Oryctolagus cuniculus: one gene and its partners. The protein of the gene in region 5 purifies or fractionates together with the protein of the main gene of each other region. This does not show direct contact. Links are inferred from orthologs where the notes say so. Each region holds a gene or a part of one and is shown on either strand. Other genes may lie near its edges.

Region 1 (4,827 bases), on a different chromosome or scaffold from region 5:
TGGCAGCGCCACAACCCCCACCCCAACGTCCCCCTCTGACCCCCACTTAGGGACTGGGAGATGCTCAGAGGTGGCGGCTGACTCACCCCAGGCCACACAGAAGCCGGATCCACTCCCTGGCTCTCCGGGCCAAGGGGTCTCAGGACCACCCCTCTCCAAGCGCAAACCTGGGCCTCTCGCTGGCTTCCAGGTGAGGGACAAAAGCAGGCAGAGCGGCCCCGGCCCCTCCCAAACCCCGGCAAGACCCCGGGCTGCGGCTGCTTCCTGGCAAACGGAGAGCAGGGCACGAGGCCAGGCCGGACACCTGCCCGCCTGAGAGGAGGCACCTGCCGTGGCCTGGGGAGCAGGCAATGGCGCAGGGGCAGTGAGGGCGTCCGGTCAGCTCCCCCATGTCTGCAGCGGCCAGGGCTGACCGGAGCGGGGGCCGGTATCGGAACCCGGCGACCCCACACCCAGGCTCAGGAGGCCTCACTCCCTCCTGCTCTCGTCCAGCTGCCCGTGCAGCCCGCAGAGACCGGCCTGCCAGACCCGGGGCACTCAAGCACCAGTGTGCCCATGGGAAGCATGGCGGCCTGGTCACCTCCGGCACGCAGGGGTGTTCCACTCGGTCCCCTCTCCACCAGCCCTGGCCCCCCTCACCGGGGGGAGCTGGTTCTCAGAGCGGGCAGGCCCCCTGGCCATGGCAGCTGCTGAAGCCCCCGGCCCAGGGCCACCCCCACCTGCGGATTGCTGTACTCACGGGATCTGGGGACCAGGGCCACCCCGACCTCACCTGGTGCCTACCTCGCGAGGGCCTACATGGGGTCTGTGCCCCCAGCTGCCCCCTCCGCCTAGGGCCGCGTCCATGGAGGAAAGCTGGTCCTCCCGACCCTGTGCTGCGGCCCGCGGGGGGTCGTCCGGCCTCTATACCTGTGCTGTGGAGTGGCAGCTGTGACCCTGCGCTCGCCCCAGCGCACCTGGGACCCAGCAGGGACCCCCTGCAGCGAACAGGTGGGCGGCGGGGGCTCCCCGCAGGTGTGACCTGAGGCACAGACCGCACGCGGGGCATGCGGAATATGGGGTGCGGGACGCCATCGTCGTTCAGGGTCTCCCCCCGCACCCCGACTCTGCAGAGGAAGGAGCGCAGGTGCCCCGCTCAGGTGCGCGCCACAGGAGCAGCCGGGGGCGGGGCCGAGGAGGGGGCGGGGCCGGGAGGGAAGGTCGCTTTCTGGGGGTGTGGCCGTCCGGGGGCGGGGCCTGCGGGCCGGGGCGGGGCCGGCGAGGGCGGGGCCTGGAGACGCGAGCGTGGGAGGAAAGGGTCGCGGTCTGGGGGCGGGGCCGTGATGGGACTCGTCGTCCGCGCACCACGGGGCGGGGCCGGCGAGGGGGCGGGGCCGGCCGGGGGCGGGGCCTGCGGGTGGGGCGGGGCCGCGGCGTGACGCGCGCCGACGCGATCCCGGAAGCGGTGTCAGATGCTGGGAGCCGGCGGCGCGCGGGCGGCGGGCGCGGGGGGGGAACTTGTTGTTCTTCGCGAAGTCGGAGCCCGAGCGCGAGGCGGCGGCGGCCGAGGGGGAGCACGGGAGTGAGCGCGAGCGCGAAGAGAGCGCGTGCCCGCGAGGAGCCGCCGCGCGCCCGCCCGCGCGAGCCAGGTGAGCGCGGCGGGCGCGGGGCGCGGGGCCCGTGGGGGGCGGGGGGCGCTCGGAGCCACGCGGCCGCGGAGTCACGGCTGCCGGGGCCCGCGCGCCCGCCCGGGCCCGGCGCTGAGAGCCGGGGGCGCGGACCCAGGCCCGGCCGGGGCCCTAGCACCTGCGGGGCGGGACGGCGGCGCGCGGGGCCGCCACGTGCGGGTGCGGGGCCGCGACCGCGTGGTCCGGGGGCGGCAGGTGTCTGCCGTCGCGGAGCGGGGCCAGGCGCGCCTCGCCCTCGCCACGTGCCCCGGCAGACTCGGACCCGAGCTCCGGCAAGTGTCTGGCCCCGACAGGACACGGTAAGTCCTGGTCAGGTGCGGCGGCGCCCGGGAGCTCTTACATAGGTGTCGGCCCGGCCGGTGGGTGGGGTCTGGGGGCCGCGCAGGTGGGCGGGACGCACCTGCGGGGCACGGCTCGGGGGAGGACCTCCTGGTGGGAATGCCCGAGGGGGCCTGCCCCGAGGACCCGGCCCGCAGTAGAACGGTCAGTAAGGCAGTCCCGGGGGCCAGGATCCCAGGGAGCGGCCCCGGTGAGGCCGCGGGCGCCCGGGACGGCGGGAGTCGGTTTACAGCCTGGGGCGAAGCTGTCGCCGCGGACCCAGAAGAAGCCGTGCCTGTTGGCGGCCCGGCGGCTCCGGGTCTAAAGGTTCCTGGAGTGGACTTTCTGGGTTCCGGGTGCAGTCCGCACGGGAAGTGGCGATCGGGCCAGCTGGGAGCGCTCTCCCGGGCAGTAAACAGTGACTCACGCGCTCCGCCCGCCTGGATGGGAGGCGCCGCTCCCGCACGCACGCACGGGGGGCTGCGAGCCGGCCTCCGTTTCCTCTTTCTGAGCTGCAGGAAGCGGGAAGTTATCTGACAGTGCAGGGCAGGTGGGGGTGGGGGTGGGGGTGGGGGTGGGGGTGGGGCGCCACCCCGGGCCGCGGGGTCCCCTCGCCCCCTGCCAGGCTCGCCCGCCTGTTCTCGCCGCCGGCTCAGCTCCGTGGGGTCTTGGGGGAGAGCAGGTGCCTCCCACGAGGAAGGTAGTGGGGAGAACCTTCTGGAAGAAGCAGCGTTGGGGGAGGGCTGGTGCCCGGTGCACCTGGGAGCTGTCAGGAGGGACCCACCCACGTGCAGCTCAGGGCTGGGGCTGAGCGGGGCAGCTGCCCCTTGGGGGCGAGGTCACGGAGTCTGGGTCAGCACACAGACAGGGGAGAGCCCGGGGTCAGGCTGAGGGCGAGGCTGTGCGGTGCAGCGGGTGCCCTGGGGTGGGGTGCCCTTACGCGAGCTGCACACAGGTGAGGGAGGCGGGCCGGGGCTGTGTGTGCTTTCCCAGGGCGCGTCCCCGGCTGACCACGGAGCTTGGGGCCTTGCTGAAGCGCCTGGGTGGCCAGCAGAGGGCCGGCTCCGTGAGCGGGGCTGTGTCAGCCTCATCCCCACGCACCTCTGCATGTAGCAGCTTCCTCAGCCCAGATCAAGGCGACTGGACATCCTACAGGTCCGGGGCTGCCGGCTGGGGGCACTGCGGGCACCTGCCCGCCGAGGGGCCGTGTCCCGGCCAGGCTGGGGTGCTGGGGGGGTACAGTGGGCACCTCCCACCTGCCCACAGAGGGGCCGTGTCCCGGCCAGGCTGGGGTGCTGGGGGAGTACGGTGGGCACCTCCCACCTGCCCACAGAGGGGCCGTGTCCCGGCCAGGCTGGGGTGCTGGGGGGGTACAGTGGGCACCTCCCACCCACCCACAGAGGGGCCATGTCCAGGGCCGTGCTGGGGGGCACCATGGACACATCCCACCTGCTCATAGAGGGGCCGTGGCCAGGGCCAGGCTGGGGGGCACCATGGACACATCCCACCTGCCCACAGAGGGGCCATGTCCAGGGCCAGGCTGGGGGGCACCATGGACACATCCCACCTGCCCACAGAGGGGCCGTGGCCAGGGCCAGGCTGGGAGACACCATGGACACATCCCACCTGCCCACAGAGGGGCCGTGGCCAGGGCCAGGCTGGGTGCTGGGGGGCACCGTGGACACATCCCACCCGCAGAGGGCCATGCTGGGGGGCACCGTGGACACATCCCGCCCGCAGAGGGCCGTGTCCAGGGCAGGGGCAGCGGGTGTCTCTGCGGTGGGGCCTCGTCTTCAGTGGGGTGCGAGTCAGCGTGTCTGTGGCCCCAGCTGCGGCTGCGATTGGCTGACGTGTTTACTTGACAAGTGTGTGTGGCCCCAGCTTCCGCGCCGGGGCGGCCACATCCTCCGTGTGTGGATTTGCATCTGTCACGGTTGCTGCCTGGGTCTTGACTGCCGCTCCCGGTCCCGCCTCCTCGCCCCCCACTGGACGCCCGCGGGCAGGACGGGGCAGGTGGGACCGGGCGTGGGTCGCAGCCCCGGACCAGAGCCAGAGCTTCGGCAGCAGGCAGGAGAGGGCGTAGCCGGTCACTGACGAGGGAGGCTTGGAGCCCTGTGCGGCTCGGGGACTCCGGGGGCCTGAGTGCTGGCCTCTGCGGAGCGGGTCCCTGCCCCCAGGAGCCCCCGGCCGCATCACTGTCCCTGCACTTGCCCGGCCTCTCTGCCGCGGCCCCGGGCGGGCGCCGGCACATCCTTTGAGAGGAAGCCACTCTTCCCGCGGCGCTGGGGCTGGATGGCTCACGAGAGTTTCTGGCTGTGGGTTTAAAACCCACGCAGGAGTCGCCCGACAGGTGTTGTGAGTCTGCGGTGCCGGTGCCGGACAGGCTCCTGGCGGGCGTCGCCCATCCCCGAGGTCCTCACGCACGTGGCGGCTGGGGTGGGACCCGGCCTGGCCTTGGTGCTGGCATCCCGGTGGCTTTTCTGAGATTTTGAGGCGCTCGGGTGCCGGGGTGGGGGTGGCGCTGCCGAGGGGTGCCTTGGCTGGCTGCCTGGGCCGGGGGGGCAGGTCCGTCTGGGCCTGGGCCCCCTGCAGCCCTCACCCCAGCTCTGCCTGAGGTGGGACGGCGTACGAGGCCCCGCTCGGAGCGTTGTTTCCGAGTCAGTGCTGTTGCGACCTTGCAGGTGCGAAGCTCTTCCCAGGTCTGTTTTCCGGAACCCTGCTGCCCTGTTTCTCGCCTCTCATGTTTAAAGCAGCCTTGGGCATACGGGGCTCACGAAGGGAGCGCCCCACCCAGGCCGCACCCTGCCCCCGGCACCAGGTCGAAGGGCAGCAGGCTGAGCTG
Region 2 (4,936 bases), on a different chromosome or scaffold from region 5:
ACGGCTGTTCCTGGCCAGTCACGCTGACTCAGCACATCGCGGCCGCCCGCCCTCGCCGCCGGCACTCCCGAGGCCGCCAGCCAACAGCCGCCCAGGAGCCCCGCTGCTGGGGCCAGGGGGGCTGGGGGGCCATAGCAGGTGGGGGCGCCTGCCTGTGCATCCTAAGGTCCTACCTCCCACAGCGGCCTCCCCTGCGCCAGCCCGGGACAAAGCCCCTGCTGTCCCCACCGGGAACTGGGGCAGACAGCAGGGTGAGGGGTCTCCCAGTTTCCCGGGGCCCTCCAGCTGGGAGCGAGTCATCTAGCTGGCCCCGGCTCCCATGGCGGGAAGAGCTGGGGAGCCCCACACCTTGGAAGCAGCAGGCAACCCGACTGAGAGCCTGGCCCGAGGGCCCCTCCAGCCCGCTCTGGCCGCCTCCCGGCCCGTGGAGTAACCACCGTGTGGCTTTGGGTTGCAGCTTCCTGCGCCCCTGCCCCACCCTGGCCAGGGTGTTTCACAAGGGCCCCGGGGCCTGCTCACTGACAGGCAGGTGGCAGTCACTGACTGCTCTGTGGTCCCCTGCCTGGGCCTGCACCCACAGCCCAGTGCCCAGACCGCTCCCCCGCCAGCTGCCCCTCGAGCACCACCCTGCACTGTCCGCTCTCTGAACCCCTGCCAGGAACCTGAAGCTCCCACCCCAGGAACCCCTCCCGGAGCCCGCCCCTCCCACTGCTCTGCAGGTTAGATGCAGGCAGGTAAACAGGTGGACGGGGAGAAAGGCCACAGTCTCCTGGCCGGCTCACCCACCCGGGGAACCACAGTGTGGCTGGCCAGGCGGCCCATGTTCCCAGGGTGGAGACCCCACAGGAGCCAGGCCTGGCCAGGAGGCAGGCTGCAGCCAGGAGGCAGGGTGGGGCCGAGCCAGGAGGCGGGACCCCAAGAAGGATGGGGATGGGGTGCCCACAGCTGGAGGTCAGGAGGCCCGCAAGCCGGCCCCGGCCCACCAGGAGACGGGCCCTCACTGCTGCCTGGGCACGGGGGTGTCCCTCCCCCCACGACCGCACAATGACAGCGGTGGCTTCCTGAGGGGACCACACAGAAAAGTGCCGAGCGCGGCGCTGGGCTGGGAAAAGTGCCTCCTCAACAGATTCCGCCCTCTGCAGAAGGCCTGAGCTCAGCACAGTGCAGCCAGGCGCCTTCCGATCAAAGGTGTGCACGCGTGTGCGTGTGCGTGTGCGTGTGCGTGTGCAGGCACCCACGCCGTGGGGGAGGGCCTCGGCAAAGCCGGCGCTTCCAGCCTTCCGGGCAGAGGCGGCCCCTGGGGATGGCGGAGAAGGCTGGCTCGGGGCACCTGTCCCAGCCAGAGGGGGGGTCCCGGAGGCTGCACTGAGTGGAAGCCCCCCCAGCCCATCCTCTCCGTCCTGAGGGCTGCTCAGAGCTAGAGCCGCTGTCCCCTGCTGCCTGACCCACGGGGGACCCTGGGCCACCCACTCAGCTGAGAGCTAGGAGAGGAAAGGGCAGCTCCGGCCCTTCCTCCAGGACCAGCTCCCCTGGGCACCCTTGCCCGGCACACCCCAGCGGCCACAAGTCCCAGGCAGGCCGCCCGACGCTCTGCGACCCCGACCCGAGTCCTGCGGCTCCATTCACGCCAGAGCACCCGTGCCGGAGAAGCCCCGAGGAAGCTGCGCGGTGTCTGGGTGCGACCACGCGACGGCCACGAACCCAGGGCAAGGGAAGCAGTGGGAAGGTGAGCTCTGTCCACCTCCCTGGCCCCCAGCCCCCACCGCGGCCACACCACCCTTTGGCCTCTTAGCCGCCGGTCCAGACAGCGGAGACACCACACTGGCTCAGCACACTCCATGCTGGGACCCCTCCTCGCCGGGGACAACCCCTGGGTGTCTGGGACCCGATTCTCCCGCCTGTGCGTCCACACTAACCCACCTGCTGCACCCCAAAGGACGCATCCTGAGCTCCTGTCGCGTGCAGCCTCGCCCCAGCCCAGGGCCAGCGGACCCGGCCGCGACAGCGCGCTGGCTGCCCTGCGAAGTCCTGCTGCCTGCTCCCTGCCCGCCGCCGCCCCTGCGGCCCCACGCTCACTCCTCTTTCTTCTGACGCCAGGGGCTGCCCATCCAGGGGCTTCCAGCCGCCAGCTCGGCCCACCAGACCCCTCCCCTCCCGTCACCCCCAGCTGTTTATCAGTTTGGGGGACTGCCCCGAACGTGGGCCCAGGGCCGATCTCGCCAGGGGCTCGACTTCTGCCCCGCAGGAAGCCCGCAACGCGGCCTCGGCCTCCGCCTGGCCACGCCGGCCTCGCGCTCATCCTCACGTGTGCCTCCCCCGCCACGGGCCGGCCCCTCCAGTCCCGAGGCCCCGCGCCCAGTCCCCGCGCCAGCAGCAGCTCCGAGTGACCTCATGCTGATGACTCAGCAGGTCGCGGCGCTGGCACGCGAGCCGAGCCCGGGCCCGCGGGCAGGGTCTTCCCGCCGCCCCCGCCCGGCCGCCGGGGCCCCGCGCGCCGCCAGCGGCCGCCACACACCTGAGGAGCCGGCGGCCGCGCCCCCGCGCCCCCGCGCCCCCGGCCGCGCCCGGCCCCGCCCTCCCCCCGGCCGCCGCCGCGCCTCGCCCCGGGACGTCCCGGCCTCCGCCGAGCGGGCTCCGCGCACGCCCCGCCCGCGCCGCCGCGCCGCCGCGCCGCCGGCGGTGCGCCCGGGCACCCGCGGCCGGGGCCGCAGCCCGGCTCCCGACGGCAGGGGAAGGCGAGGCCCGGCCCGCCGGAGGGCGCGCGGCGCGCCCAGGCCACGGCCCCGCCCCGGCGCGGGCCCCGCCGCCGCCCCCGCCGCCCGGCCCGCCACACTCACCACACTGCGGGCCCGGCGGGCCGAGGCCGGGGCCGGGGCGGAGCCGCGCGCGCTCCGAGGCCGCGCGGAGCTGGGGCGGGCGCCGGGGGTCCGGGCCCGTGGCTCGGGGGGGGTCTCGCCGCCTCGCGCGCCGGGCCGAGCGCTCTGCGAAGGCCGGGCCGGACCAGGCTCGGGATCCGCCGCCGCCGCCGCCGCCGCCGCTCCACAGACGTCACATGATGTTTGGTCACGTGGGCTCCATTCATGAAGCGGCGACGCGGCCGGCCGGAGCTTAAAGGGGAAGGCGCGGCGGCGGCGGCGGCGGCGGCGGGGCGCGTCGCCCTGCGCCTGCGCAGCCCGGGCGCCGTCGCCCCTGGCAACGCGCGCCGCGCCCGGGCCGCGTCGGGGGCTCGCGGGACTGTCCGGGCGCGCGCCCTGGCCGGACCACGCCCCCGCCGCGGCGCGGTGCGAGCGCGCGGGAGGCCCTAGTCCGAGGTCCGGGTGCAGACCGACCCCGGGGGTGCAGGGCCCAGGTCCCGGCCCCGCGGTGCGCCCGCCAGGAGTGGACGGCGCGGGCCGTCCCCCGGGCCGCCGGCACCTGTCTGAAGCCGGCCCCCGGGTCCGCGTCCGCCCCCGCCGCCGATCGTTCCCCCAGGAAGTCGCCGCGCGGCGGGGTGGGGGCGCGCTCTCGGCCCTGTTCCCTGCTCAGGTGCACAGCCAGGCAGGTGAGGAGGTGAGGGCGCCGCGGAGGGGCCCACAGGAGGACCTGGAGCTGCTGTGCGGGGCTGCGCGGGGTTCCTGGCGGGGTGGGGTGTCCACGCGGGACGGCGCGACTTGTAAAGCCTCGGGTTTTTCCGTAGAAAACGCAGCGACTCACCCCACGAGTGCGTCCCTGGTCTCAGAGCTTGCTCCTCACCCCTCCTGGACGCTGGGTCCAGGCTCCGGGGGGCGGGGCAGCCCTGAGCCGGGTTCGCGGTGGGAATCGGAGCTCCGTGGCCGCTGGTCTGAGGCCCGAGGTCGAGGGCAGGGGGCTAGTCGTGACGGAGAGCCGGGTGTGCCCTCGCTCCTCTGTGCTGGGAGACGCTGGACCAGGACGCCTGGTCCTGGGGCCGGGGGCCATCACTGCTGACCACCCAGGCAGCTCGCCCTCCCCTGCCGCCGTCCAGTGCGTGGGAGATGCCTGGGAAACTCATCTCATCTCCCACTCAGTTTTGCTGATGGACGTCCGTCCACTCCCCACCCCCACACACCCACCCCCACTCAGCAGCCGCAACAGGCAGGCATGGGTGTGGCCACCCGGGGCCACGGGCGAGGCCAGTGGGGGCCGTAGGTACTGGGACTGCTTCCTATAGAGAGAGAAGCCCTGGGCCCTGGGGTCAGTTCTGAGAGCAGACAAGAGAGGGGCAGGTGCCCACGCTCTGTCCTGTGAGGGGGCAGCTCTTCGGGTGCAGGGGTCCAGCTGTCCTGTGCGGTGCTGGGTGGGGGGCTCGTGTCCTGTCACTGGAATGGCCCAGGCAGCCGGGACCTGACTCCGGTGCAGCTCCAGGGCCCAGGGGGCCCAGCCACGCACGTCCTCTCATCTGTCCCAGAACCCCCTGGCAGACTCCCCACACAGGGTCCTGGACACTTGTCCCTGAAATACGGGGGCAGCAGCGTTTGGGCCACGGCAGATGAGGCTGAATTGCTGTTGTTGAAAGCTGTCTGACAGGCAGAGAGGGAGAGAGGTCTTCCATCTGCTGGTTCACTCCCCAGACAGCCACACGGCCAGCGCTGGGCCAGGCCGAAGCCAGGATCCCGGGACTTCGTCTGGGTCTCCCACGTGGCGGCAGGGGCACTTGGCCATTACTCGCTGCTTTCCCAGGTGCATTAGGTGGGAGCTGGATCAGAAGCAGCACCGTGGGGACCCCCAGCCCTTGGCCACGGGGTGCCAGCACCGCCCTCTGCACAAGGCCGGCCCGGGGCTGTTCTGTCCAGAGCGGCCCTTCCCGCACAGGGGCCTGGAGCCTCGCTGTCCACGCAGGCGTCCCTGTGAGCGGCTTCAGGGTGGGAGGCCTTCACCCCCTCCGCTGGGTCCTCCAGGGACACAGCAGCCACAGCCTGACACGGCTGGGAGGCCCAGG
Region 3 (4,698 bases), on a different chromosome or scaffold from region 5:
CAGATGTAAGCCTCTCTGTAACTCTGCCTTTCAAATAAATAAATCAATTTAAAAAAAAAAAAGACTTCCAGAATCAAGCTAAAAAAATGTGAGATGGAATCATAATCTTGAAACTAAGGCTACTGTCAAGGGGAATAATGAAGATGATTTTCAAAGGAATACTGATTTTGTGGGAAGTAATGTAAGCTAGAAAGTCAGATATACGGCTACAATAAGATGATAAAGATTAGCATTAAGAGGGCAGTATTTATAATAGGAAAAATATAGAAGACATATTGGTTAAAAAATTGAATTTTTTTCACATACTAAGGATAGGCAATTAAAAATTTTTTTAAAAGACTGATTTATTTATTTAAAAGGAAGAGTTACATAGAGGCAGACTCAGAGAGAGATATATCCCATCTGCTGGTTCACTCCCCAAATGGCCACAATGGCCAGAGCTGCATCGATCCGAAGCCAGGAGCCAGGAGCTTCCTCTAGGTCTCTTACGTGGTTGCAGCGTCCCAAGGACTTGGGCCTTCTTCCACTGCTTTCCAAGGCCATAGCAGAGTTGGAACGGTAGTGGAGCAGCCGGGACTGGCATCCATATGGGAACTGACACCCATACGGGATGCCGGCACTGCAGGTGTTGGCTTTACTCACTACACCACAGTGCCGGCCCTGGCAATTAAATGAAATACAAATAAAGCATTTTAAAAAACCCATTAAAATATAATAGTAACAACAATATCATCATCAACAATCAAAATAAAGTAATCTTCAACAGGTTTTTCAGATGTTGCATGATTTCTTGATTCTCCATAGGAGCTCAGCAGCAGTTTGTATTGCCTGGAAGGATATTAGAAAAAATTATCAGTATTTTAAATGAAAACTAACTCCTCAATCATTATAAACTAAGAACAGGCCTCCTGTCTTCTCTAAGGCAGATGAAGCAAGGCTTACATTCTGCAGCATTACTTGTGAATATATTCCTTTATCACTATTTCAACCAGTTTTTATTTGTTGTGAAATAAACAAAGATCCAACATGAGGAAAGAGTAAATCTACTTTTCCAAAAACACAAATTTTAGAAAATGAAGGATGTAGCAGATATACAATAAATAATTAGTTATTACAGAGAGAATAATTTGAGGGAATGTGGGTAGCAAAAAAGTCCTGCAAGCCTTTAAAGAAGATGTAATTTGGGCCTGAAGGACAGGTAGCATTTAGATACAGAGAAAAATAATACAGAGGAGAAAAAAGTTATTGTACAAAACAATTTCAGTAAGAATTTCTTTTATATCAAAAGCTGTCAACAAATTTTCAAAGTTAATAAATGAAGAAGCTGCTAAATGCCATGAAAGGAAATCTAAAGGAAGATGAGACTTTTATGCATTTATTCATTTCTTACCTTCTTTTAATGGAGTTTTCATGGCAAAATTTTCTTTACTTTCATGATGAAAAGCCTTTGAAGGATCAAAGTGTCTGATACCCAGAACTTTATTCAATTCCTCCTGAAGTTTTCTCTCATTTTGTTTTCTTTTAGCAAGCTGAGAGCGCAGTTTTGTTACCTCCTATAAGAGAAATTAAACAAAGAATATTAAAGTTGGTGAACTGTGTTATCATTATTGCAAGGTAAACTCCAAAGTTGTTTATGTATCACACCTAATGGCAAAAATGACTATAACACATAAGCTTTAAGATCTTAAATCTTTTTGTATCTCTGTAAGTACAAAGCTACTTTCTCAAAATGGATCAATAACCTAAATGTAAGATCTAAAACTACAGGCTATTAAACAAATTATGAGTAAGTGTTCATGATCTTTGATTTGGCAAAGGATTTTTAGATACCAAAGTAGCAAAAGAAAAACAAAGATACATTGGAATTCAACAAAATGTTGTGCTTCAAAGGATAACATTAATAAAGTAAAAAGACAGTGCACAGAATGGCAGAAAATATTTGCACATAAGACATGTATATCCAGAATGTATAAAAAACTCTCGCAATTCAACAGTGAAAAGATCAAAGAATACAATTTTTCAAAATGGGCAAAGAATCTGAATAGGCATTCCTCCCAGGAAAATACACAAATGGCTAATAATCAACATCATTTCCATCAGGGAAATTCAAGTGAAAAACTACAATGAAATAGAGCTTTATATCCAGAAGGACAGCTGGAATAAAAAGGTCAAGTAATATCAAATGTTAGTGAGTACATGGAAAACTGGAAACCTTATACCCAGTTTGACAGTTTTCGAATTGATTAAAACTAGTTACCATATGACCTTGCAATTTCAGGCCCAGTTATATACCCCACAGAAATAAAAAAATATGCCCATACAAAAACTTGCACATGAATGTTTATAGTAGCATTATTCAGGACAAAACATGAACACAATTTGAATGTCCAACAATTGACAGATAAATAAAATGCTAAATATTTACACAATGAATTATTGTTTGGCCATAAAAAGGAATGAAGCATGGATACACGCAACAACATGGATGAGCTCTGAAACATCATATTAACTGAACCAAAGCAATCACAAAAGACTATTATTTGAGTCCATGAATATAAAAATGTCTACAATAGGAAATTTGATAAAGATAACTGGCTGCCTAGGGCTGAAGGGTTGGGTAGAATGAGGAGTTAGGAGAATAAAAGGTAAAAGGTACAGAATTTCATTTTAAGGTGATAAAAATACTCTAAATTGACTATGATGATTATTTCACTTATATGACTATAATAAAAACCATAGAATTATATATTTTAAAGGAGTAAATTGTATAGGATGTGAATTAATCTCACAAATTTGTCAGAAAATTTAAATACCTAAGTATTTTTTAATACCGGTTGTCTTAATTGTGATTACATCAAGAAGCTTGCTATTTTGCTAACAGAAATGGATATATAAAGCTTTATGAATTCTTCCCATTACTTTTGTAATTTCAACATACTAAAGAGGTAGTTAAAAAGCTGAGAACACTGAATACTAGTCTGATTGATGCTCTAAAATAAAACCATTAACTCTAGGATCAACTTTCCTCCATAAACTACTTTTTTCTGATATAAAAGATGTTCATTTTAATAAGTTTTATAAATAGTTAAATTAATAAAATCCCCATCCCAGTATCTTTCAAAAAATAAATACTACTTTACAAACCGATTTTAGTTGGCTATTTTCATCTTTCAGTTTCACAACATGCTTGATTTTTTGCTTCAGATTCTGATGACCCAATAATGTAGCGTATGAATCTCTTAATTTATTTAGCTGTTCCTGAGCTGCACCATGTTCACTCAACAATGCCTGTTTCTCTGCTTCAAATGCATCCAGCTGTAGCTAGAAGAGATTATAAAGTTAAGACCAGAACTGTTAAACAAAAATCCTAAACTGTTAAATCTTATTAGTTTCATATAATCCATAAAAAATCTAAAGAGAATTTTAAAAACCTAAAATGGAAGATACATACATTTTCTCAGGGCTCTCTACAGCTTCTCTAAGAAAATCTTAAATATACTATTTTTCATTTTACAGCTCCCTACTAATGCACCTGGGGAAGCAGCAGATGATAGCCCAAGTCCTTGGGTCCCTGCACCCACGTGGGAGACTTGGAAGAAGCTCCTTACTCCTAGTTTCAGATTGGCTCAGTTCCAGCATTGCAGCCATTTGGGGACGGAACCAGCAGAAAGATGACTTCTCTCTCTCATCTCTACCTCTCTATAACTGTCTTTTAAATCATTTATTAATCTTTTTTTTTTTTTGACAGGCAGAGTGGACAGTGAGAGAGAGAGAAAGAGAGAAAGGTCTTCCTTTGCCGTTGGTTCACCCTCCAATGGCCGCCGTGGCCGGCGCACCGCACTGATCCGATGGCAGGAGCCAGGTGCTTCTCCTGGTCTCCCATGGGGTTCAGGGCTCAAGCACTTGGGCCATCCTCCACTGCACTCCCTGGCCACAGCAGAGAGCTGGCCTGGAAGAGGGGCAACCGGGACAGAATCCGGTGCCCCGACCAGGACTAGAACCCGGTGTGCCAGTGCCGTAAGGCGGAGGATTAGCCTAGTGAGCCGCGGCGCCGGCTTAAATCATTTATTAAAAAAAGAAATTTATGTCCATTAAACTTACCAATTATAGTTCAATGAAGGTGGAGAAAATTTATGTATAATCTAATAAAAATCATAAAACCTTAATTGAAAGTTAAATGTGCACTGAAAATACAGAACAAAATGTTATTGCAGGAAAGCAAGTCACTGTCATGACTATAAGGGAGAACAAAGTAAACTCCTAAAATAAGCAGAAGTGGGTTTAATCTTAAATGACAAACCTGAAAAGGTTTTGTTTTCTTGTACAATTCTTCATAAAGGAGACGCCACTTATTAACTTCCTCAGTTAATTCTTCCATTATATTTTCTTTTTCAGCTTTCCTATATAACAAAGTTATATTTTAAAAATTAGAGAATTACTATATTTTCTGATTAGGAAAAAAAAGTGAATTACATGGCACTCAGGTTCCAAATATAAGATTACTTTGATTCTTCCTCTTCCAGTTGTTTCTTAAAGTCTTCATTTTGTTGCTTGAGTTGATTCTGCAATTCAGTTATTTTTTTATCAGAAGAAACTGCAATTTCTTTAATTTCTGCGTCCTTAAGTTCTGACTTGGTCTGCAGATCTAGAAGCATCCTTGGGTTTGAGAAAGAAGAGTCCAATAAACATTTTATAGCT
Region 4 (4,739 bases), on a different chromosome or scaffold from region 5:
CTGTTGTAGCCTTCTGGACACAGGGTGCCAGGGCAGGGACACATGGAAGGCCCTACACTTAGGCTTGCAGGGTCTCCCAGGCAGGAATGGGCAGAGAGAGCTGTCACAGCAGGGGCAGGCTGGCATGGTTTCAGAAGTGTACCGGCTGCTACGTGATCATGGAAGCCCCTCGGATTTAGGAAGCGCTTACAGCCCTGTGTGCACGAGCTCACTGACACACAGACCAGGCCCGCAAGCTGCTGGGTTTGGCACTTGGAGCTCCTGGTGACCCTGGCAGATGTTTTGGTGGGACAGGGGGTGTTCGCCTCAGTGGAGGGGTTCATGAAAGGCCCGGGGCAAACCTGGAGACCGGCAAGTGTGCACACCCGGCTGAGGTTTTATGCCAAAGTGGCAGAGAAGTGGGGAGGTAGCTCTCAAGGCAGGTCTCAAGAGGAGTGTTGTAAGGTGAAACTGCTGCAGCCTGCTTGCGCGCTGATAGGAAGGAGTGAGGAGATAGACGATTGATTGATTGATTGATTGGACCACATTTAGCCGTGGAGGGGCTGGAAGCTCCCGCTGGGGTGGAGGGGGTGGAGCTTGGAAGGCTCAGGCACAGTCCACCCATGGAGACCCGAGGCGGTCAGACTGTGGGCAGGGAAGAGACAGGGAGACCTTGGATGTGGCCTTCTGACTGCGGCTGCTTCCTCAGTGTTAGGAAAAGCAAGGCTCCGAGAGCAAGGCGAGAAGACAGCCGGAGAGGGAAAGATGGGCGGCCGGGCAACCTTGGGGCTACTGGAAATCGTGACTCGGATGCACTGTGGTTCTGGAGCCTGGAATGGCTGCTTTGGGGCAGGTGGAAAGCACGCGGAAATTAGTTAACAGGCAAAGAACATTGGCGTTAGCCGCCAGAGGGTGTCGTCGAGGAAGTAATGACCACGACGGACCGGTATTAAAAAAAAAAAAAATAGGTGAACACTTAAACGCAAGGGATACAGTCGTTTGGCCACACTCGGCTCAGTGTCCGGGGAGCAGGCTCCGGGCCTCTCCTCCCCACCCGGGGCTTGCGGGGCCGCGCGGAAGGGCGGCCGCCAGGAGGCGCGCTGGGATGGCCGAGGACCCAGCTCCCGGGCCTCACTGCCCGCGCCGCCACCCGAGGTTGTAAGGCTGCTCAAGGCCGGCCGCTGTCCCCGCCTAACCGCAGAGCTTGGAGTCCCAGCAGGCCCGGCTATGTCCAGCCAGCGCCGCGGAGCCCGGTTTAAAAACCACTCAGCAGTCCTCGCAGCGACTCCAAGGGGCTGGCGAAACCCACAGCCAATCCGGTGCTGAAGCCCTGGGGCAGCCAATGGCACGCCGCGGGGCGGGACCGTGACGGCGAGCGCCCCGCCCCGCCCCACCATTGGAGTAATTCAGCCAATGAGAGAGCCGGGGCGGGGCACCGCGGCCAATGGCGCGGGCCGGTTTGATTCAAAGGTGCTTATAAAGCGAGCCCATAGCCAGGCTCTAGTCCGAGCGTGGTCCGTGGGAACGGTGCGATGGCTCTGCGGTGCGAGGTCCTGGACGAGCTGCCCGCGGCCTGCCTGTCGCCGTGCGGGCCGCCCAACCCCGCCGAGCTGTTCAGTGAGGCGCGGCGCCTGGCGCTCGAGGAACTGGTGGCGGGCGGCCCCGACGCCTTCTCGGCCTTCCTGCGACGCGAGCGCCTGGGCCGCTTCCTGAACGCCGACGAGGTGCGCGACATCCTGGGCGCCGCCGAGCGGCCCGGCGAGGAGGCCGCGGCGGCCGAGGACTCGTTCGGCTCGTCGCACGACTGCTCGTCGGGCACCTACTTCCCCGAGCAGTCGGACCTGGAGCCGCCGCTGCTGGAGCTCGGCTGGCCCGCCTTCTACCAGGGCGCCTACCGCGGCGCCACGCGCGTCGAGGCGCACTTCCAGCCCCGCGGCGCGGGCGACCGCGGCCCCTACGGCTGCAAGGACGCGCTGCGCCAGCAGCTCCGGTCGGCGCGAGAGGTGAGCGGCCCCGTCCGGGTCGGACGGGAGACCCTCGTCGAGGCCTGCCGGGAGCGCGGGCGGAGCCCTCTGACCCCTGGTGCTTCCCGGGTCCTCTGCTCTCCGCACGCTGCGTGTCTCCCCTCGGGTCTGGGATCCCCCCTCTGTCACTCCCTGTGACTTGTGCCGGGGTTCCAACTCCCAATACTCAGTGTCCCCTGGGAGCGGGACCAGAAATCATCTCAATTCCAGGCGTCAGTTAAAAGCGAAACATTATCAGCGTTCCCAGCGGTCAGCCGACACTAGGTCCCATCCCCGTGACCGAAGACGGTCCATCCCTAGGGGAAAGTTCCTGAGAGGTGGCCGCCAGAGGCAACTTATGTTGTGGGAAGCAGACGATGCGAAAGTGGCACAGAGAGGAGAGGGGGAGGTTGCCCCTTCTGGATGAGTGGGGAACGGGTTGCTTTTCCGTGGGCTGGAGCGGTTCCCGTTAGCATGACCCCCGATGGGCCCGTCTGAGCGCGGTGGGTTTTGGCCCTGCTGCCTGACACTGGCAGGGTAGCCAGGTGCTGCGGCAGATCTCGGCGGCCTGCAGGCCAGGATGATGCCCCCGCCGGGCGCTGGGGGTCAGGGAGGGAAAATGCAGTGAGCAAGTGGGTGTGGCAGTGGACGCCTCGGTCCAGAGCCCCTCAGTTTGCTTGCTGGCCCGCAGATGCCCAGCTACTGGCTGAGCTGGAGGCCTGGTGGGTAAAGCTGTAGGCCATGATAAGGCCTGGTACCAGGGTGTGTCTGTGGGTGAAGAGATCAGCATCAAGTCAGGTGGAGGTAGCCACGGCCCAGAACAAGCCCCGATTCTCACCAGTGTTCCTGGTGGTGGCTGACCCGCGGGGTTGGCCATAGTGACCTGGTGTCTTACTTGGAGGGGAGTGGGTGGGGGCTGCAGCGAGGCTGGGGTCGGCTCTTTGACACTGTGGGTGGCCTGAGGGTCCTTTGCTTTGGATGCTGCAGACGTTTTCATTGTGGGTTCAGTAAAAAGGTGTTTTTTTGTTTTGTTTTGTTTTGGTTTGGTTTTTTTTTTAAAGACAGGATTCTGGGGCAGGTGTGCAATCCCGAAGCTCACCTCCAGGAGGAGGCCTTGAGCACTTGGAAGTTGAGACTAGTTACCAATGGACGTCCTTATGAATAGATTGCTTGCCTTTTGCCTTTTGCCCAGCCCCAGATTTTAGTTGTAGTGAAGGGGCAGTGGAGCCAGAGGGAACCAGTGTCTTAAACTCACATGCTGGCCTCCGGAGGGGCTGGAGCCCGGACCTCCGCTTCCTGTGTCCATCTGTGGTGCTTTCCTCTGTTCTGTGCCCACCCCAGCTGCCTACCCTGCTCTCTCTCCAGCATGCTGCCCGTGGATGCTGCGTGTTGCCCCAGGGAGAAGTGGCTCATTCTTTACTTTCAGTGCACTGTGTGTGTGTGTGTGTGTGTGTGTGTTGGTGTTTGCCCTGTGCCAAAGTACTTGGCTTTTCAGTGCCTGCTGTGTGTCGGACGCCGCTGGGGCATGGGCCACAGCGGGAGGCATCAGCCCGCGTGCGCTAGGGAGTGGACAGTGTGCAGGTGGGCAGCAGGGAGGAGGTGGCTCCAGGCAGCGGGGGAGGGCCTGAAAGGTCTCAGGAGTGGAAACCCTGGAGCTGGGTGCAGGAGGAGGGGTGGGAGCAGAGGACCTGGTGCCTGTGGGAGCGGTGGGATTCCCAGGCATGGAGCGGAGAGTGGGTGAGGGCAGGGTTAGTGGGGGGGGGGCTGGAGCTAGACTGTGGAGGGTGAGGGGTGTGTGTAGGAGGGTGGATTGGATGGGGGTGAGGCTGCTGTCCAGGACAGCTGGAGGCAACCGCGGGAGTCCTGCATGAGAGGAGGGGCTGCACTGAGGCCTTGTGGGCAGGCAGAGTTTTGGGTGGAATTGGCCGGACTTGGCTGTGAAAGAGTGGGAGCGGGCCGGAGAGCAGGCAGGGCTGGGAGAGGAAGGCCCAGGAAGGGTAGAGGAGGACTGGGGTGGTTCCCACTGGTATGTGGAAGGAGAGCGACCCAGGGGAGTGACGCTGAGAAGATGAGCTGGATGGGGAGGGGGACATCTTGTTTGTTAAAATAAGTGACAACACGGGCCGGCGCCGCGGCTCACTAGGCTAATCCTCCGCCTTGCGGCGCCGGCACACCGGGTTCTAGTCCCGGTTGGGGTGCCGGATTCTGTCCCGGTTGCCCCTCTTCCAGGCCAGCTCTCTGCTGTGGCCAGGGAGTGCAGCGGAGGATGGCCCAGGTGCTTGGGCCCTGCACCCCATGGGAGACCAGGAAAAGCACCTGGCTCCTGGCTCCTGCCATCGGATCAGCGCGGTGCGCCGGCCGCAGCGCGCCGGCCGCGGCGGCCATTGGAAGGTGAACCAACGGCAAAGGAAGACCTTTCTCTCTGTCTCTCTCTCTCACTGTCCACTCTGCCTGTCAAAAAAAAAAAAAAAAAAAGTGACAACTGCTTTCTGTCTGCCACACGCCGTGCTAAGTCACCGAGACAGGCGCAATGAATCTGCATCTTACAGACGATGGCACCAAGGCTTAGAGAAGTTAGGTTGCCAAGGCTGTGCAGCAGGGAATGCTGGATCCGGAACCTCCGTGGAGGCAGGGTCTCTCACCCACCTTGTGCCCCGTGCTCCAGGAGCTCCTCCTGGGGTGGAGAGGGTGATAGAGGCTTCCGCTGGCGGCTGCTCAGGCGGCGCCACACTCTGTAAAGGCGTGCGTAATGTACGC
Region 5 (5,058 bases):
TTGTTCTATAAACACTGCACTCCAATGTATACATTATCAAGTGTTCTCATTAATCTTTTTACACATCACTACACTTCAGATCACATACACAGATCAAACAAATCATTAAGTTTGTCTCCAAATCGATAATTCCATTTACCAAATATAACTGTTTTTTTTTCTATTTCCATCACTAACTTCAAGAATGTAATAAATTCACACTCAAGAGGGAACTGTTTTTACAATTCTATCTACAAAGCACGCTGAATCTCTTAAAAACTAATTAAAAATTAAAAAAAAGAAAATGTAATTTGAAGGCAAATTAATAGCTACGCTGACTGCTAAATTAAAAAACCTTCATGTGTCAAAAAAAATTACACTCAAGCTTCTAATTTTAAAGCACAATATAAAAGTAACAGAATTACATTGATAAAAATTGCCCTTAAGAAGAAATCAGAAGTTTTTTAAAAAAGTACAGCTGTTAAAAAATGTTATTGGCAATGGATAACAAGTATGAGCAGAAAAGGGTAGAGGGGATGTACCTTCACTATGTAATACTCAAGTACTGTTAATCTGTATCTTTCATGTCTTCCTTATTTTATAGAAAAGTTTTAAAAAGCAAAGTTTTAATAGCTTCTTCTTAATTTTACCACCTTGCACTCTTCATTAGAGACCCTAAAAATTCATTTATAATCTTCTCTAGTCCCAAATTTAAACAAAATTAATTTTTTCTAATACAAAATGTTTTAAATGAAAACTACCTACTATAAGAACTCATCATTCTTTTGACATGAGGTTAAGAACCAAACCCTCACCTCCATATTTCCCATTCCTAAACTTTGTCCACACTGAGGAAAGTTATGCTTGGGTTATGTGGTTACTTTTAAGCAAGAAACAATGACACGCAATGTAAAGACACTAGTACTATCTTTCAAGAGAATGAGACACATAAGTATGATCTGACTTTCATTAGACAACTGTCTAGCCTTGACTGTACCAGACATGTTAAATCCACCCACATTCACATTACCCTCCTGATACCAAAAAACTACTCCTGTATTCATGAAAAGCCAAGAGTCATGAAAAACAAGAGGAAAACTCCCTTTTGTGTTAGCATAAAGAAACTTTCATGAAGAACCAATTAAGTTCATGTTTTGAAATGTTAAAGACCATACAACAAGAGGAAATAAAAAACTAAGTACAGTATTGTTTATTGTATCAAATATTTATTGCCTGCAAATATTTACTGCCTGCAAATTTCTGCCCCAGTTTTAGCTCTTTCTCCAGTACAAATTCATTCTCAGTCAGATCTCGCAGCTGTTCTTGGTCTAAACACCTCAGTGCTACCTGGCCACTTCCTAAGAGTGCTCCTGCACTTCCCCAGCTAATTACATGTATCAGAACAGACAACCACTGAGTCCCCTTCAGCCTTCTGAAGCAATCCCTCTCAGTGCTCCTTGGCCTTTTATAGTGGAGGCATGTGATGAGCCTATCTGCACCAGCTGTTCCTAATTACCTCTCTGGCTCGGGTGAATGACTCAGCAACACAACTTTTTTAAAGAGTCATCCTACCTCATTATCCAACCAACATACTGAACAAAGGTAAACCGCTTGACAGAACCTTATGTTAAACAACAACAAAACAAGATGCAGGCACTACCCCAAAGCCACCCTACTCCAAGATGACTCACAGCAGCCTTTTTTCCTAGGTTTCCTTAAGATGTCCAATGGCAGAAGTGACAAGTGCCTTCAAACCAAACCCAGCCCAGCCCAGCCCAGCCCAGCCCAGCCCAGCCCAGCCCTTGCACCACTACCCTGAGACCAGGAAGAAGCAAGCTGACAGCTCTTCCCATTTCTTTGCTCGGCCATGTGACACGTTCAAATGCTCTGCCTCCCTAGAATTTCCACCCTTGATCTTTCCAAACAGCCTCAAATGCAAACCCTGTGGAATGTAATAAGCGTCCACTAGACGAACAAAGACCTAGTAGTGGCATCCTCCATGGGTAACAGTTCCAACACAGATATAAATTCTCCAAACTATCAGCATCCTACAAAGTCTTTGTTCCTCCAAAGACGACATGGTAGCTTGATTTTCCCACACAGGCTCCTCCACAATTACTACTACACTTTACCTTGAATCCGCCCAAGTTGAACGCAGAAAGAGGGCTCATGGTACAAACGCATGCCGCACAATTCTATTCAATGACATGAGCCTGCCTGGAGAGAGAGAGAAAGCCACGGCGTTCGTGATGCATTACAGGAGCACAAAGCCGGTGTCTCTACAATCAACACCCACTCTCACCATGTTGTGAGAGTCCCCATTACGACGAGCGGGCAAAACGCCAACAATGGGAGCCCTGAGACCTCCAATCCCCAAAACCAATTTCCCCAGACGCAGGTTAGACCAGGTGATCTTCCCGCTCTGGCCACCGTTCGGCCTTTCCGACGCGATGACCCGCGCGACCCACACCCAGCTGGGAGGGCGAAACGCCGCCCGGCGCGGGGGACGCTGCGGAGGCGCTGGGAGTGGGCAGAGGGCAGGACGGGGCCCGGGCCGTGAGGGCGGTGCTGATGTGTCACAGCCAGGGCGGGCCGCGGGCTGGGGCGCCGGGTGGGCTCCGACCCGGGGACCGAGGGGCCGGGGAGGGGCGGCAGGCGCCCGGGACCCCGCGGCGCGCGCGAGCGCCCGCCCGGGGGTAAAGTGCAGCGCGCGCCGGTAAACAACAGCGCTGGCCGCCTCAAGAGCCACGGGCACCCACGGACGCCCCTTCCGGTGGACGCGGCCACTTCCAGGAACGGGGCCGCAGCCGCTCCCGGCCCCGCGACCCACCACCACCACCAGAAAACAGCCGCCGGAGGCCCCCTCGGCGCCTCCCCTCACAGGCCCAGGCCGCGACCCTCCCGGGGCAGGGCGAGCAGGCCGGCCAAGCCACTCACCAGAGCCGGAGCGCGGCGCGGCCCGTCTGACGGCAGCGAGCGAGGCAGGCGGGTGGCGCGGGCAGCGGTCAGGTGACTCACTCCCTCCGCGCGGCCGGTGGCCCCGTCTCCTCCCGTACCGTCCCCTCCCCTCTCCTCGGCTCGGAAGCCGCGGCTGCAGCCGTCCCGAGGCTCCCAGACCCCGCCCGCCTGGCCTCGCGAGGCCCCGCCCCGCCCCGCTGAAGCCCCGCCCCGCCCCTCCCGCCAGGCCTGGCGAGGCACGCCCTCCTCGTGAGGCCACGCCCTCCTCGTGAGGCCACTCCCACCGCGCCTAAGTCCCGCCCGCACTTGGAGCCCCGCCCTGCGGCTCCGGAGGCCTGGGCAGGGGACCCGGGGAACCGCGGATCAGGAAAGCCCGCTCTGGGAGCCCCAGGGAGGGCTGCGCCGGCCATCTGACGAGCGGATCCCGGCCGGCCTGGGAGCGGCAGCGGCTCGGGTCCCCCACCTTCGCGTGCCCAGCCCCCTACGAGGACCACTCCTTTCCTGAGGGCAGAGGGAAAGGGGGCGGCCCCCTCAGCCCGAGTGGTGTCCGGACGCCCGGAGGCCGTCACGGCGCCTGGAGCTCCGGGTTCCCGCGCCCTGCGGGAGTGAGAGCGGGCGCCCCTCCCCAGAGCCGCACAGGGGTCGTGGCTGAGGAAGCCCTCGGGGTGGCAGGCGCCCAGATTCGCCAGGTGTGGGATCCTGCCGATCGGGAAGAAGCAAGTACATCCGGGATATTGTAGAAGGCGTCTGGCAGCCCTGGCTTGAATGAGAACAAGGGCATCCGCTAACAGGTGTTCCCTTTTCACCACGACTGCCAGGAAACTTCCAGCCAGGTTCGGTGCCAGCGGTGTCAGCGGGCCCGGCTCGAGCTCTGGTTGCGCTTTCATCCCTTGATGCTTATTGTGGTGTGTATCCAATTGTCACCTTTAAAATTATGTTCCCAAGCCATTTAACACCTCTGGAGCTGAAAGCCTGGGCCCTGCAGAGCGCACATGGCAAAGCTTATCCATGTCGGAAGAGAGGGGATTGTGCCAGCCAACTCCATAATAGAGTTCCTGGAGAGATGGCACTCAACCGGAGGCCTGCAGCCCTCGAAGGATCTGTCTGAAAGGATTTTGTTGTTGGCTTTTCACTTCTAATGGAGAAGGAGAGATGGGAAAACTTGGTGGCTCAACTGGCAGCAGCTCCAGAAAGTGTGGACTTATTTCTTGAATTCAGTAAGACAGCCCTGGAGCAACATGGCAGAAAAAAAAAAAAAAAAAAAAACTTACCACAATAATGAATTCATGTATTATTATTAACAAAACTGCAGGGCTGTACCCACAGTCTGCAGGACTTAGGGACATTCGCATTATATTCGAAATACACGAGAAAATGACAGAAATTGAATGCGAGTACAAATGGTAAAATGATACACTATGGCTTGGATATCAGGGAGAGATTCCCAGAGGAGTAACATTTGTGTTGTGTCTTAATGGTCATGTGTGAGACCCAGCTGTCCAGGGAGGAGGCAGATGGCATTCCAGGCTACCTGAGTTCATGGTAGCTGTGCAGATATTTAACAAGAAATAAGGAAAGGACAGCTGGAAGTAGACCATGAAAGAAGGATTGGGGTTCTTATAAATCATGTGAGGGTTTTTGAGGCTTCACTTTTCTTCCACGTTGAGCCAGTGTAACTACATTCTGCCTCCCACACCTATGCAGTTTCTTCAACAAGGAACACACCCTCCTCTTTGGGAGGGCCTCTTATTTCCTTAGTGGACATACAAATGAATACCAAGTTTTGACACTATCAAGGCAACTAGGAGTGACTCTCAAACTGCTACATGCTTAAGAATAAAATATCTGGGTGCTCACTAAAATGCAGCTTCCTGGGCCCTGCCTCAAAGATCCTGCTATCATAGGTCTGGATGGTACCCAAGGCATCTTTCTAGAAATCATTTTTATTGTTTATTTGGAAGACAAGAGAGAAACAGATCTCCCATCTGCTGATTCACTTTCCAAATTGTCAGCCACAACTAGGCCTGTACCATGCTGAAGCCAGAAGCCTGGAACACTATCCAAGTCTGCCAAGTGAGCGTGAAAGGGACTCAACCACTTGAGCCATCATCCTGTGCTACA
Region 6 (4,949 bases), on a different chromosome or scaffold from region 5:
CCCGGCCGGGCCACCTCCTCACCTTCAGGGCTTTGCTGGATAAGGGATCCACAGACATGTTGGCAGCCGGTGCCCTCGGGGCTGGAGACCTAGGGGAGAAAGGAGGCCACCAGTTGTTTTTTGCTCCCCACTTAGAGTAAAATCCAACTCCTCCCTTAGCATTCGGAGCCCCTGCTGTGTTGGAGCGCACGCCCAGCCCCTTCCTCTGCACACTGGCCCAGCCACATGCTGTCCCCCGGCCTCCTCAGAGGGACCCTCTACCACTCAGGCCCGAGCCCAGGGTCGCCTCCTCGGGGAGGTCTTCCCTGGCCGCGGGGCTGAAGCGCCCCTGTGTCACTCGCTGCACCTGTGCACTGAGTGGTTTTGTGGTTCGTCTCTCTCCATCCGTTTTCCTAGGAGGGCAGAGGCTTTGCCTGTCTCACCACACGTCGATACGCCTGACTCCGGGGCAGTGCAGAGCAGGCGCCCCACAAACCCACAGCTCACAAGTGGGCACTCCTGCCCCGGCCCAGCTGTGATCTGACTTGATTTCTGCAAGTTCTCCGGGGCCAGCGCTGTGGCGTAGCCGGTAAAGCTGTCACCTGCAGTGCCAGCATCCCACATGGGCGCAGGTTCAAGTCCCGGCTGCTCCACTTCCGATCCAGCTCTCTGCTATGGCCTGGGAAAGCAGTGGAAGATGGCCCAAGTCCTTGGGCCCCTGCACCCGCGTGGGAGACCTGGAGGAAGCTCCTGGCTCCTGGCTTCAGATCGGCACAGCTCCGCTGTTGCAGTCAACTGGGGAGTGAACCAGCAGATGGAAGACCTCTCTCCCTCTCTCCCTCTCTCCCTCTCTGCCTCTCTGCCTCTCTGCCTTTCCTTGGCTCTCTGTGTGACTCTTTCAAATAAATAAATTAAAAAAAAAAGTTTTCCTTCAAGTATAACCTACATACAGAGAAGTACACATAACACACGTATAGCCAAGGACTTCACAATGTCCCCAGCACCCCATGGACACAGCGCGGGGCCAGTCCCCAGCCCTCCCCAAGCACAGGGGGCGTGGCCCAGCAGGGCCCCAGGCAGCGGGGCCCCAGGTGTGGCAGCAGCTGTTTGCCCAGGCGTGCACCTGGCACTGGGGGCGCAGAGGTTTATAAACACTCGAGGACGGCACCTGCCGGGGTCAGCGGTCACTGCTCTGGGACAGGCAAGGCCTCCCAAGGCCCCTTGAAAGCAGCTACCCTGTCCCTGCCTGGTGACCAGGCCTCCTGCGGTGTGACCCGAGCGCGCTCCTGGGCCAACCCCCGTGAGGAGTGGGAGAACACCAGGAAGCTGCCTGGTGACTGGAAGCCCGGCGTCCTAGACGCTGTCATTACAAGACCCCAGGAGCTGGAGGCAGGGCGTGAAGGGCCGGGGACAGGCCCTGGCTCCCTGACACGGCCGGCAGGACCCGCATGTGTGCTGGGGACCCTGGAGGAATGCAAGAGCAACAGGCCCTGGCCCGCACACGCCGGGGCTTGTGGAGGGCGGCCCGCAGAGCTCTCTGCACCACGTGCCGCCCCGCGTGTGACCCAGGGCGGCACGTCCATCAGGGCAGCTGTCCTCTCCCAGCAGCCTCCACGGCGCCCATCCCAGTGGTCTCCACGGCCGCAGCGGTGCGCCCCAGCACTGGCTGCTCCTCCAAGGGACCAGGGAGCTCCCTCCGCCCGGCATGCCTGCTCCCGGGACAGCCACGGAGCTTGCTTCAGATCCCATGTTCCCAGCCACTGGTGCCCACGGCGCGTGCACACACACAGCCTGTCTCCCTCCCCAGCCTCGGGTTTCTCTAGAGCACCGTGGGCGTCGCTGATGACCGATCCTCCTGCGTGTTGCGTCTGTGGAATGGAGGTCCTGTGGCCCACAGCTGCCTCCCGGGGCTTGGGGCAGGGGCCTGCCAGCCCCTCCCCGCCCACACGGCCAGGGGGTCCAGCAGCTCCAGGGAAAGGAGGAGCGGTTCAGGGGCGGGAAGCTGGCACCCACAGGGATCTCAGGCCAGCGGGCTCTAGGGACTTCCCGTGTGGTGGCCAGGAGGGGCGAGGCCCAGGGTCCCAGGCCAGCGCTCAGCAGCCGTGGTGTCCTGTGCGGCTCCCCGGTGGGGAAGGCCTGCTTCCTGGTGGAGCTCTGAGCTGTAGCCCTCACTGCTGAACAAGTGGGCTCCGCCTGGGCCCGGGCCTCAGTTTCCCTGCCTAGCCCCTCCAGTCCCTGTGGGCTCGGGCCTGGCTTGCCCAGCAAGCTGTCTCTGGAGGCCTCCATGCCTGCCCCCTCACTATCCCTCCTGCCTGGCCCAATCATATGGACCCCACACTGCCCTGACCAGTCACTGACATGTCCAGACCCCGCCCTCCGCCACCCTGCCCGTCAGAGCCACACACGGCCCTGCCACATAGTGCCCCAGGGAGCTTCCTGCCCTGTGAACCCTCCTGTGCCACCACCAGACTAGAACCTGCTGTGGCTCCCACTGTCCTGAGGCCAGAGGCCGGCCCATCCCCAGGCTAGTGCACAGCCTCAACTGTGCACCCCAGCCATGTGGATGTCTTCCTCTGACCCCACCCGGGCACTCCCCCCCCCCTCCTCTGTCGGGCAGGCTCCTCTTCATCCTTGTGCCCTCCTCCTCCTCCTCCTCCAGGAAGCCCTCCCTGACCTTTAGGCCTTGTTAGGCACCACCCCCCACCTCCACCCCCCTCTCCCCACCACACAGCCATGGGCTGTTTCCTTGTCTCTCCACCAGGCAGGGAGCTCCAGGGGCTGAACCAGGATGGCTGGCTGGGCGGAGTCACTGACACCGTCACCCAGCTGGTCAGCGTCCAGGCCTGGCCAGACACAGTCTGCGAGAAAACCTCAGGCCAGCCCCCAGTTCCTCCTCCTTCCCATCTGTGTCCCTTCCGAGGGGTAGAGACGGCACACGGGTGGGGCGGGGGGCGGGGCACGGCAAGGGAGCAAGGTGGGGAGTGGGAGACGGAAAGAGCACTGAGTGGGGGCACGCCCTGTCCGTCTTCTCCAGGCCACCTGACCTTGGCCGAGACTCCACCTCTCCGGGTGTCCACTCTCCTCTGCGCGGTACCTGCCTGGCAGGTTCTGGTGGAGCGGAGGGGTGCATGCAGTGGCGGTCAGCCAGCGCCCGGGAGGGCAGGAAAGCGAGAATCCGAGCTGCCGGAGCCGGGGCCACAGCCAGCCCTGGCAGCGCTCTGCCTCAGCAGCTCCCAGCTGCCCGGGGCCAGCCCAGGGACGGCCCTTACAGCCCTAGGCCCCACCTCCTCACTCCCCCAGGGGGCGGCGGAGACCCAGAGAGGCCATCGCTTGCCTGAAGTCCCGTGGGCACCTGTGAGGCCTGGACTGAGTGCCGGCTCCTCTGACGACTGTGACTTGATGCCTGGCAGCCCCCTGGGCCACACAGCCAGCACGGGGTGGAGTTCAGGACGGGGTTCATGTGAGGTTCAGGACGGAGGCCACCCTGGTGCCCACTGCCGGGCTTCGAGGGGCCAGGCTTTGGGCGGGGCCTGCCAGGACACCCGCATCCGGCTGCACAGAGGGGCCGGCCGCGAGGGGACCCCTGATGATGGGGTGATCCCTGATGATAGGCACAGCGCGGAGACACTGGCAGGGGCCACACGCTCAGGAGCCGCGAGTGGCTGGCTCGCCCACCACACCCCTCTCCCCCGCCCCTGCCCACTCATGGCTCATCAAGCCCACACGTACTCCCAGGAAGTGACACAGAGCCTCTGAGTCCTTCTCAACACAGCCCTGCCTGCCCCTCTCGCTGCTGGGGCTGGCTGGGACACGGACCCCAGGAAGTCCTCCGCACTCCCCTCCAGCCCGTCGGCTCCCGCAGGCCCCCGTGCCCAGGGGATGTCACGGAGGGAAAGTCACAGAGGGAAAGTCCCACAGGCTGCCGCGCTGTGCTGGGAGCCCTGGAGCCTGGGGCTTCCGGCCCTGCCGGCCTGGGGCTTGCACAGCAGCAGAGCCGGCCTCGGCCGGGTGGCTGCGGGTGGCAGTGGGGGACTGGCGCCCCGGGGCCTGCTCCCACCCCGGCCAGCGCTCTCTCAGGGCCTCCCTTCCTGGCCTCTTCTCTTCCCTCGGAGGCCGGCAGAACCCCTCCCAGGGTCTGCAGGTTCCTAACCTTCTTTGGAGGCCTGGGGAGTGAGCTTTCTCTTGGGGACTGACAGAGGCCTCGCCCAATCAGCAGCCAGCGGCTCTCGCGCGCAGCCCCGTCCCCGGCCCCCAGGCCCACCCCAGAGACAGCCTGGAGACGGCCCACCCACTGGCACGGCTCCTCCTGGCTGCCGAGCCATTCCGCTTGCGCGCTGTGAGGACACAGGGAAAAAATGTGTTTTCCTGGGTCTTGGCAGCTGGCGCTGGGGGCACTCCTCCCTGCTGGAAGGGGAGCAGGGCAGGGGGAACCAAGCACAGCAGGGAAGTGACGGCGGGTGGCTCCAGCCCGGGCTCTGCCCCCCACTCACATCCCGGCCTCCCCTCCCCGGCATGCCGACCGCCCCTCAGCCTGAGGTCCCGTTCCCACAGTAATGGCCTCCAAGCTAGTGGTATCCTCGGAGCACCAAGACCACCAGCGGAGGAAGGCCTGGGAGGAGGGTAAGGAAATCAGTGCAGGATTCCTGGAGGCGGGGGCGTGACAACACAAACTCCTAGCCCCTTCTGCGCTTGCACAGCCAGAGACCACTTCTCCTTTCGGATGGCCCAGGACCACAGCCGCCTCCACCTCCACGCCCTGTCCTCCTCGGGAGCTGTCAGGAGGACTGACACAGACCCACACCGCTGCCCGGCTGCCCCCCGCTCCAGCCCATACAGGCCAGGCTCTCCGCCTGCTCCCAGGATCTCAGGCTAACATCAGCTGAATGAATGGGCATACATCCTGTGTGCGTGTTCCCCAGACACATGGCAGCGTGTGTGCGTGCGTGTGTGCATGCGTGTGTGCGTATGTG

The links.
Region 1: the proteins of BACH1 (region 5) and MAFK purify together in Homo sapiens (affinity purification with mass spectrometry; 6 studies listed by BioGRID and IntAct, counting the BioPlex papers as one, with this or other methods). This does not show direct contact. The link is inferred for Oryctolagus cuniculus from reciprocal best matches to the Homo sapiens genes BACH1 and MAFK.
Region 2: the proteins of BACH1 (region 5) and MAFG purify together in Homo sapiens (affinity purification with mass spectrometry; 5 studies listed by BioGRID and IntAct, counting the BioPlex papers as one, with this or other methods). This does not show direct contact. The link is inferred for Oryctolagus cuniculus from reciprocal best matches to the Homo sapiens genes BACH1 and MAFG.
Region 3: the proteins of BACH1 (region 5) and HMMR purify together in Homo sapiens (affinity purification with mass spectrometry; 6 studies listed by BioGRID and IntAct, counting the BioPlex papers as one, with this or other methods). This does not show direct contact. The link is inferred for Oryctolagus cuniculus from reciprocal best matches to the Homo sapiens genes BACH1 and HMMR.
Region 4: the proteins of BACH1 (region 5) and FAM83D purify together in Homo sapiens (co-immunoprecipitation; 3 studies listed by BioGRID and IntAct, counting the BioPlex papers as one, with this or other methods). This does not show direct contact. The link is inferred for Oryctolagus cuniculus from reciprocal best matches to the Homo sapiens genes BACH1 and FAM83D.
Region 6: the proteins of BACH1 (region 5) and MAFF purify together in Homo sapiens (affinity purification with mass spectrometry; 3 studies listed by BioGRID and IntAct, counting the BioPlex papers as one, with this or other methods). This does not show direct contact. The link is inferred for Oryctolagus cuniculus from reciprocal best matches to the Homo sapiens genes BACH1 and MAFF.

What each region holds. Positions count from the first base shown.
Region 1 is NC_091450.1:36,677,778-36,682,604, forward strand, and holds the start of MAFK (transcription factor MafK), read left to right. Parts: upstream 1-1,432; 5' UTR 1,433-1,628; intron 1,629-1,812; exon of another isoform or gene 1,813-2,150; intron 2,151-4,827. UniProt on the Homo sapiens protein: Since they lack a putative transactivation domain, the small Mafs behave as transcriptional repressors when they dimerize among themselves.
Region 2 is NC_091448.1:997,976-1,002,911, reverse strand, and holds the start of MAFG (transcription factor MafG), read right to left. Parts: upstream 3,036-4,936; 5' UTR 2,838-3,035; intron 2,761-2,837; exon of another isoform or gene 2,516-2,760; intron 2,386-2,515; exon of another isoform or gene 1,921-2,385; intron 1-1,920. UniProt on the Homo sapiens protein: Since they lack a putative transactivation domain, the small Mafs behave as transcriptional repressors when they dimerize among themselves.
Region 3 is NC_091437.1:50,243,278-50,247,975, reverse strand, and holds the end of HMMR (hyaluronan mediated motility receptor), read right to left. Parts: intron 4,657-4,698; coding exon 4,504-4,656; intron 4,401-4,503; coding exon 4,301-4,400; intron 3,322-4,300; coding exon 3,145-3,321; intron 1,554-3,144; coding exon 1,391-1,553; intron 829-1,390; coding exon 809-828; 3' UTR 693-808; downstream 1-692. UniProt on the Homo sapiens protein: Receptor for hyaluronic acid (HA). Involved in cell motility. When hyaluronan binds to HMMR, the phosphorylation of a number of proteins, including PTK2/FAK1 occurs.
Region 4 is NC_091442.1:19,931,047-19,935,785, reverse strand, and holds the start of FAM83D (protein FAM83D), read left to right. Parts: upstream 1-1,472; 5' UTR 1,473-1,511; coding exon 1,512-1,982; intron 1,983-4,739.
Region 5 is NC_091435.1:16,285,780-16,290,837, forward strand, and holds the start of BACH1 (transcription regulator protein BACH1), read right to left. Parts: upstream 3,129-5,058; 5' UTR 2,917-3,128; intron 2,840-2,916; exon of another isoform or gene 2,282-2,839; intron 2,197-2,281; 5' UTR 2,112-2,196; intron 1-2,111. UniProt on the Homo sapiens protein: Transcriptional regulator that acts as a repressor or activator, depending on the context. Binds to NF-E2 DNA binding sites. Plays important roles in coordinating transcription activation and repression by MAFK.
Region 6 is NC_091442.1:114,968,576-114,973,524, reverse strand, and holds the start of MAFF (transcription factor MafF), read right to left. Parts: upstream 3,277-4,949; 5' UTR 3,110-3,276; coding exon 3,024-3,109; intron 90-3,023; coding exon 23-89; intron 1-22. UniProt on the Homo sapiens protein: Since they lack a putative transactivation domain, the small Mafs behave as transcriptional repressors when they dimerize among themselves.